Linked DNA regions of Macaca mulatta. The protein of the gene in region 1 purifies or fractionates together with the protein of each later gene. This does not show direct contact. Links are inferred from orthologs where the notes say so. Each region holds a gene or a part of one and is shown on either strand. Other genes may lie near its edges.

Region 1 (3,913 bases):
CCATCAAGAATAATTTGAATAAACAAACGAATATCATTTTAAACTATGGTAGTGGTCAGTTTCAAGAGCTGAATGCGATTTCATATTATTGTATCCTTTTTTCAACTTCCTCTTCGGAAATTTTGTGTATGCTCTTGATTTTTTAAAAAATAGGTAAGTGTATGCTCTTGCGTTCATTTATTTCACAAACATTAATGCTCAAACACTGCTGCGTGCACTTTTTTTACCTGATAGTTTTTTCCTTTGGATGACAGAAAACGTTAATGCTTGGTAGGTTTAAAACATTAAAAAAAATGAGTTCTTCCTTTTTGACAAGAATCACCTACCTAATTAATAAATGCTTATTTCTGGGTTCCACTCTCAGAGATCCTCGCTTTTTTATGTTTGGAGTTGGAAACCTATGTTTTCAGCCAGTACCCAAAGCGATTGTGAGGCCTGGTGGCCCAAAGATCATACCTTGAGAACGACTCGACCCAATGCTATTTTCATGTTTTGCAGCTTTCAAAATATTAACTTCAGAAATCTAAGGACGGTGGGCAACTCGGGTGCTGTCAGAAGACCCGAGAGTGAGCCGCTCACGCTGTGCCCCGTTGCACAACTTTCCTTGACTTTCCAGATCTCTCCCTGAGGAAGAAATCAGTTCATTTTCACCGAGCAATTAACTACTCCCAACCGGTTCCGTCTATGTCCCTCAGGATGACCCCCCAAAGTCACCAGCTCATCGCCGCTGCGAAAATAAAGCGCTGTTTGCCCCGCGTGCCCCCGCAGGGCCGCGGGAACCTGGGCTCGCTTCCCGCCACCCGGGCTCCTCCTCCTCTAGCCCTCTCCGGTCGGGTCCTCCCGGAGGCGCCCCGCGCGGCAGGTATTGGCGCCAACCGGGTGGCGGCGCTGTCCGCCCTGCGCGCGGCCGCCTCGGGCCCGAGGGAGGCGGATGCACGGCCGGCGGAGGAAGGGGAGGGAGCGAGGAGCGCGCGCTGCTCTCGCGTGCTCTCGCGCCGCTCGCGTGACCGGCCGGTGTGTGCGCGAGGGCCAGCTCCCGGGGCACGGACGGCCGGGCGCGCGCCGCTGCGAGGGGCGTCCGGGTCCGAGTCGGCGGTCCGGGCCGGCGCGAGGTGCGTGCGGGCGGGCTGCGGGGGTCCCGGGCGGACACACGCGCACACGTTCCCGGAGGAGCCTTCGAGGCTGCTCTTCCTCGGCCAGACGGAGAGCGGCACTGTCTCCCCGCCCAGCGCTCACTCGCCCCGAGTCTCCCCCCGCAGCGGCTGCTCCTCCTCGGCACCGCCAGCCCCAGCGCCGCTCCCGGGCGGGCGGGCGGCGGCGGCGGCGGGACCCGCGGAGCCGCTTTGTGTGCAGCCCGACGAGGGGCGGCGGCGCAACCACCTGACAGAGGCCCGGGCGCTCGATGCACCTTCCGCCCGCATGAGGAGGAGGTAAAGGCGGCGGTGGCTCGGCTCCCGCCCTAGGCTGCTGGAGGGAGGGGACGGAAGAGGAGACCGGAGGGGGGCCGCGGGTCCGAGGCCCGGTGGGGCCGCCCGGGGGTGCCGGAAAGGCCTTGGCGGTGCCGGAGGCGCCAAGCGGCCGGGGGCCAGAGAAGCAGCTGGGGTCCCTCAGCCGAAGTTGAAGGAACAAAATGTGAAGTGCGGAGCCGCGTCAGCCGCTTCCTGGCGTGGGGCTCGGGGTGGAGGGCGGCTTGTTTTCCCCTCCCGCGGGGGTGAGGGAGCGGAACAGGGGAGGGGCGGCAGTGCGGCGGGGACTACCCCGGGTCCGAGGCTCGGCTGGGCAAGGGCGTTTTGTTCCCGGGAGCCGCCGCTGCGCGTGGGTCCGCTGGGTCCCTAGTTTTGCGGCCTAAGCCGAGCCGTATAGGCCTCGCGTCTGCTTTCCCGGAGGGGACTGGCCGGGCGGGACTGGGCGCTTCCCCACGGCCGAGCGGGGGCCTTGGGGTCCTTGCCGGCCTCCTGAGGCCGCCAAACTTCGGACCTTGGTGCTCGGGGCTGGGTTTCATTGTGAAAGACGGAATGGGAAACTCCTGGCGCTGTTCGGCGCCTCCCGCGGCCGCGGCTGCTGGTGCCGAGGAGCCCCGTGAGCCTGGGGCTGGCTGGGCTGGGGCTGGTGGGGCCGGCGGGGTTCGAGCCCTGGGAAAGAGCGGGTGGCGAGGCCGCTGCCGGGTCCCCGGCGTCCGGGGAGAAAGGGCCTTTTCCAGATTAGAGAGATTTGAAATGAAAAAAGAGGTTACAAAGTCGCCCCTTTCCCGCTGAACTTTGGTTTTCTGACCGATAGAGGCCGGTAGAGGACTGTGAACCAAAAGTTGTCCCCCAGGATGGACTTCACCGCGCAGCCCAAGCCTGCCACTGCCCTCTGTGGCGTCGTGAGTGCCGACGGGAAGATCGCTTACCCTCCGGGGGTAAAAGAGATCACCGACAAGATCACCACTGACGAGATGATCAAACGCCTGAAGGTAAGCGTCTGGACGGATTGTTCGCTCTTCAGATGTCTTTGGTAGGAGGTGCTTTCTCCTGTCATATTGCTACCCTGCTCGTTCTGGCCTTTAGAGTTCCAAGTTTTTTAGATCTCTTACGCCCTGTGAAAGGTACTGTTGTATCTCAGATAAGTTATCTTTGAGTAAGCTTTGTAAGGACATAACCATTGTGGGAAATTTAAAAAGAGTGTGATTTTTCAAAAACTTCCTGGTTTTCAAGCATGAGAATTTGTGTGTTTTTAGAGTTTTTTCTGGAGGTATTTAATGAGAATACTGTTCAGAGTGGCTTGCACACTTACGTGTAGGCAGTAATTTGCCCAAGAAGTTTCCTGTTTTCAACTTGTGAGGAGGACTGATTAAAGCGCAAAGTCCTTTTTAAAAATTTGCATAATTTTCTAGTGTCCAGAAGCTTAAATATGTATATATTGTGGTTAAACTTTGACAGAAGGTACACTTTTCATAATTCAGGCTTAAAGTAAGATGATTTAAGTCTATACATAGTTCAAAGGAGTTTAAGAGTATTATGGCTCTTTTTATGAGGTGTCAGCTAATTTCGTTTAAGCATGGCAGTCCTAAGGTTAAGGTTTTAAATTTCAGCCTCACGTTTGTAAGGTTTTTTGGTTTCTGTTCCACTGACATAGATTGTGGCCAGAATCTTACCAAATAAGTGATACTCTTCTTGTAGGATCAGCTTGAAGCAGTGGTTCTGAGTCAGGGCAACTTTGACCTCCAGGAGATGTTTGGCAATGCTGGAGACATTTTGATTGTCACAATTGGTGCTAGATTGGAGTAGGGAAACACCAGAGGCAGTGAGTCCGGCTAGGAAACTATGAACAGTAGTCTAGGTGAAAGACGTTGAAATCTTCAGATAGGGCTATGGCATTGATAATAGTGACTAGGAAATGATTTAACAACTTTTCAGAGTTAGAATCAATCAGAATTGGTGGGAGGTGAGGGAAGCAACATTGTTGACAATGTTTCCATCTTGGGCGACTTGGCGAAATGTATTTTAGGGAATGAGCTTGGCCTCTTGCTCTTGGAGCCCAGTAAATGTACCTAATGTTGCATTTTAATTAGTACAGTGTTTAAAATGTTCATGTGGTTTAGTTTTCAAACTCTAATTTGGTTGTGCAATTTGTTGCCTTTTTGGAAGGAATAAGACAACAGTTTCTTTCATTAAAACAAATCTATGTGCAGTGGTGTGATCTTGGCACACTGCAACCTCCACTTCCCAGGTTCAAGCTGTTCTGCCTCGGTCTCCCAAGTAGCTGGGACTACCGTGCGCCACCTGGCTAATTTTTTTTTTTTTTGAGACAGAGTCTTGCTCTGTCACCCAGGCTGGAGTGCAGTGGTGCCGTCTTGGCCCACTGCAACCTCCACCTCCTGGGTGCAAGCAATTCTCCTGCCTCAGCCTCCCGAGTAGCTGGGATTACAGGC
Region 2 (3,813 bases), on another chromosome or scaffold:
ATTAGCAATGACTAAGAATAAAACAGAATAACAATATGCTATAATAAAAGTTATGTGAATGGGGTCTTTATCTTATCATACTGTACTCACCTCTTTTCAGAATGTGGTTGACCTTGGGTAATTGAAACCATAGAAAGTGAAACTGCAGGTAAGGGGGGGACTACTGTACTTACTATATATATTTTTTTAAATTCTTACCTGCATTGTTAGTACCAGACTGACTGTCCTGGGAATTATCATTGCTTTCTGGGGGAGGCTGCAAGGAGGGTGATGGAGCTGTTTTAGTTCTTTTTTTGCTTGTCTTTCTTTCCACTTGACAGTCATCATCTTCATCATCTTCGCTTTCACTGAGATCATCAAAGCCAAAATACTTAATTTTGTAATTAGAACTTCCAGAACCCCCTTCATCACCTCCTGTCTCATGATCTTCAAAACCAAAAAATTCAAGTTTAACATCCTTTTTGGATTTAGTATTACTAGGTCGAAATCTAGTAGTGGTCTTAGAAGTTGCAATGTCTGCCTTTTTTCTGAGACGACCAGCTTCTCCCAAATCTGCAGGAGTGGATGCAGTGAACTCATCCATGCTGCGTTCCATAGTATCCTGTATGGTAACATTACAAACTGACAAGCAAGATGGATGTAAAACAGTGTAATCTCTAGTCCGTCCAACTGTCCCTCTAAAACTGGTCCCACAACTTACACCGCCTTTCTTTGCCTGATTCAGGCCATCTTTACTCGATTCACTGTTTGCTTTGGCTAAGGCCTGACTGGTGCCATCCATCAGCTTATCAAAATTTGACGCTCCTTGGGAGGATTTCGCTTTATTGGCCCTACAGTACGTCCTACAGTTGGTTGGCCTAAGAACACTTTGTACAATATCTTCCTCAATGGCTTCATTCAGATTTTCCAATCGATTTTTAAAATCGTCATCCTTCATCTCCAAAAGGGGATCACTATCCAAACTTAAAATACAGTCTTCTGATCTGATATCTTCAAAATCATTATCCCATTCATACAAACCAGTTCTTACAGATCCCTTGATTGGAGATATTTCTGATGGTGATTCTGGCCTCTTCCCAAACTGGGAGTTCCAAGTATCGTTTGTTTCCTTGATTTCAGAAGCCACTGTAGTTTCTGCATTGGGTTTCTTAGTACTGTCGTCAGCATTTTTGTGAATATGGTGACTATTCTTCTCACGTTCTTCATGAAAATTCTCCACTTTATCTGTAAAAATAAGTCAAAGGATAAAAACATGAGTGGTATCAATATAAAAGTTAATAAACAACAGACATGTGGTTAATCAATAGTATATGATCAATCTCGAAAGAACTGCAAACAATTTTAGGTTGTGAAGAAATTAACGTTTACATATCAGACATTTTCTCTCCTATCTTTTCAGTATATAGCTCTCATGTCTTCTATTGACCTTTCCTCAGGCAATCAAGTCCCTTAAAATTATCAACTCACAAGAAATTTCAGCAGGGTTAAGCAACGGAATCCATTCAGAATGACATGCAAATGACTCAGCCAAACCTTCTTAGGGGTATTAAGGGCTTTTCAAATAAAGATGCTTAAATTAAAAATTATTCAGTAAAATCTAAACCAACCGAAAAACCTTCTACCAATGTTTTTATTTATTTGGGATAGGGCTGCCCATAAGGTATGCTAGTTCTATCTAGAAGCCTGCCCATAGGATCAGGTTTCTCTAGCTATTTCTGTTCTTTCTTCTAATCCTAAAAGCCATATAACCTCAAGGAATTTTTAGCAGTAGTTCTGGTGTGTTAGTTAAATGGCTAATAGTGGCTATTTATGCATATCAGCCAGTAACAAATCCTTGGCCTGCCTCTTCATCTTATATGTGGAGAATTCATTTTTGTTGCCTTCAATTTTTACTATTGGAACATTTTTATAACCTTTCCAAATGAGATACAAATATGATTCCAACTGGTATTATTATTAATTCCCTCAACACTTACTTGTAGAAAAACACTGGCAAAATGTATACTCTATGACAAACAATAAAATTACTTCTACAAAATATATCTACATTTAAGAAAATCTATTTACAAATCTCAATTAGTATCATCAAATACAGGTGAGAGGGATGCTTTACATGGACAGATTCACTATAAAATGTTTAATGCTACCCAATAGGTTTTCCTCCCCTCAAGACAGGACCTCACTCTGTTACCCACACTGGAATACAGTGGTGTGATCATGGCTCACTGCAGCTTCAGAGCCGAGCACAGTGGCTCATGCCAGTAAATCTCAGCACTGTTGGAGGCTGAGGCAGGAAGATCACTTGAGCGCAGGAGTCCCAGACCAGCCTGGGAAATTTAGCGAAACCCTGTCTCTTCAAAAAAATCAAAAATTAGCCTGGCGTGGTGAGGCATGCCTAGTCCCAGCTACTCAGGAGGCTGAGGTGGGAGAATTACCGAGTAGGAGGTCAAGGCTGCAGTGTGACATAATCAGGCCACTATAGATTGCATTCCAACCTGGGTGACAAGCAAGACTGTCTCAAAAAAAAAAATTTGAGCAGCTGTCACCAATGAAATTATAATGACATCAAGAATATACACATGAAAAATGCTTATCATGAGTTGCTAGGGAAACACAAAAGGTAAACTCCTTAATATACTAAGAATCGTTACATATCAGTAAATCCAATGTCCCAGTACAAAATGAAGCTAGGGGCCAGGCACAATGGCTCAGGCCTGTAATCCTGGCTCTTTGGGAGGCCGAAGTGGACAGATCACTTGAGACCAGAAGTTCGAGATCAGCGTGGCCAACATGGCGAAACCCTGTCTCCACTAAAAAGACAAAAAAAAAATAGCTAGGCGTGGTGGCACCTGCCACCCACTCCCAAGTCCTAGCTACTTGAGAGGCTGAGGCACAAGAATTGTTTGAACCCAGGAGGCAGAGGAGGTTCCAGTGAGCTGAGATAGAACCACTGCACTCCAGCCTGGGCAACAAGGCAAGACTCTGCCTCAAAAATAAATAAATCAGAAGCTAGGAACACAAAGAAGCAATTCATTAAAATACATATAATGAATTAAATAACTTATGAAGGATACTCAATTTCACTCACAAAACTCAAAGTAAAACAAAGCTGAACTATATTTATATAAGCCCTCAGTATACGCCTGGTACTATTCTAAATACTTTCCATTAATTTATCTCAAAGCAACCATCAGGTAGGTACTACTGCCATATTCATAATCCCTTTCCCACAATTCCAACATCCAAAAAGCTCTAAAAAGTAAAAAGTTTTCTCACAGCACACTTGGAAGCAAAACCCGACCCCAACCAAAGGGAGGCTGTTTATAGTATTTACCCTACTTAGGGAAGGTATTTTCTCCTCTGAAGAAACACTATATTTGAATAGAGAACACCACCTTAGATCCTGATAGGGGAGTTAATATAAACTTTCCAAAATCCAAAATAATTCTAAATTCTAAGACACATCTGGCCCCAACGATTTCAGATAACGAAATGTGAACCTCTATCTCATTCCACAGATAAAGGACAATGGGCTTACATTACTAGTTGTTGATTACATGGCTATTGAGTGGTATTTACTCTCTGAAAAATAAGGCAACTTATTAAAAAAAATTGGAAGCAACTTGAAAGTCTGACATTAATAAGGAATTGGCTAAGTAATGTATAGCACATACAGAAATTGACAACATGCAACAGTATTTTCTCAAAGGGTAGGGGGAGAGCCAAAAAGAAAACTGATATGGTATTATCCCCAAGCTATTACATGAGAAAGAGTAAGGTACAAAACAGCAGCAAATCATCATTTTGTGGATT

What was found.
Region 2: the proteins of PDS5A (region 1) and WAPL purify together in Homo sapiens (affinity purification with mass spectrometry; 6 studies listed by BioGRID and IntAct, with this or other methods). This does not show direct contact. The link is inferred for Macaca mulatta from reciprocal best matches to the Homo sapiens genes PDS5A and WAPL.

The regions. Positions count from the first base shown.
Region 1 is NC_133410.1:39,196,160-39,200,072, reverse strand, and holds the start of PDS5A (sister chromatid cohesion protein PDS5 homolog A), read left to right. Parts: upstream 1-971; 5' UTR 972-1,430; intron 1,431-1,460; exon of another isoform or gene 1,461-1,637; intron 1,638-2,277; 5' UTR 2,278-2,317; coding exon 2,318-2,455; intron 2,456-3,913. UniProt on the Homo sapiens protein: Probable regulator of sister chromatid cohesion in mitosis which may stabilize cohesin complex association with chromatin. May couple sister chromatid cohesion during mitosis to DNA replication.
Region 2 is NC_133414.1:63,354,405-63,358,217, reverse strand, and holds part of WAPL (wings apart-like protein homolog), read right to left. Parts: intron 1,225-3,813; coding exon 199-1,224; intron 1-198. UniProt on the Homo sapiens protein: Regulator of sister chromatid cohesion in mitosis which negatively regulates cohesin association with chromatin. Involved in both sister chromatid cohesion during interphase and sister-chromatid resolution during early stages of mitosis.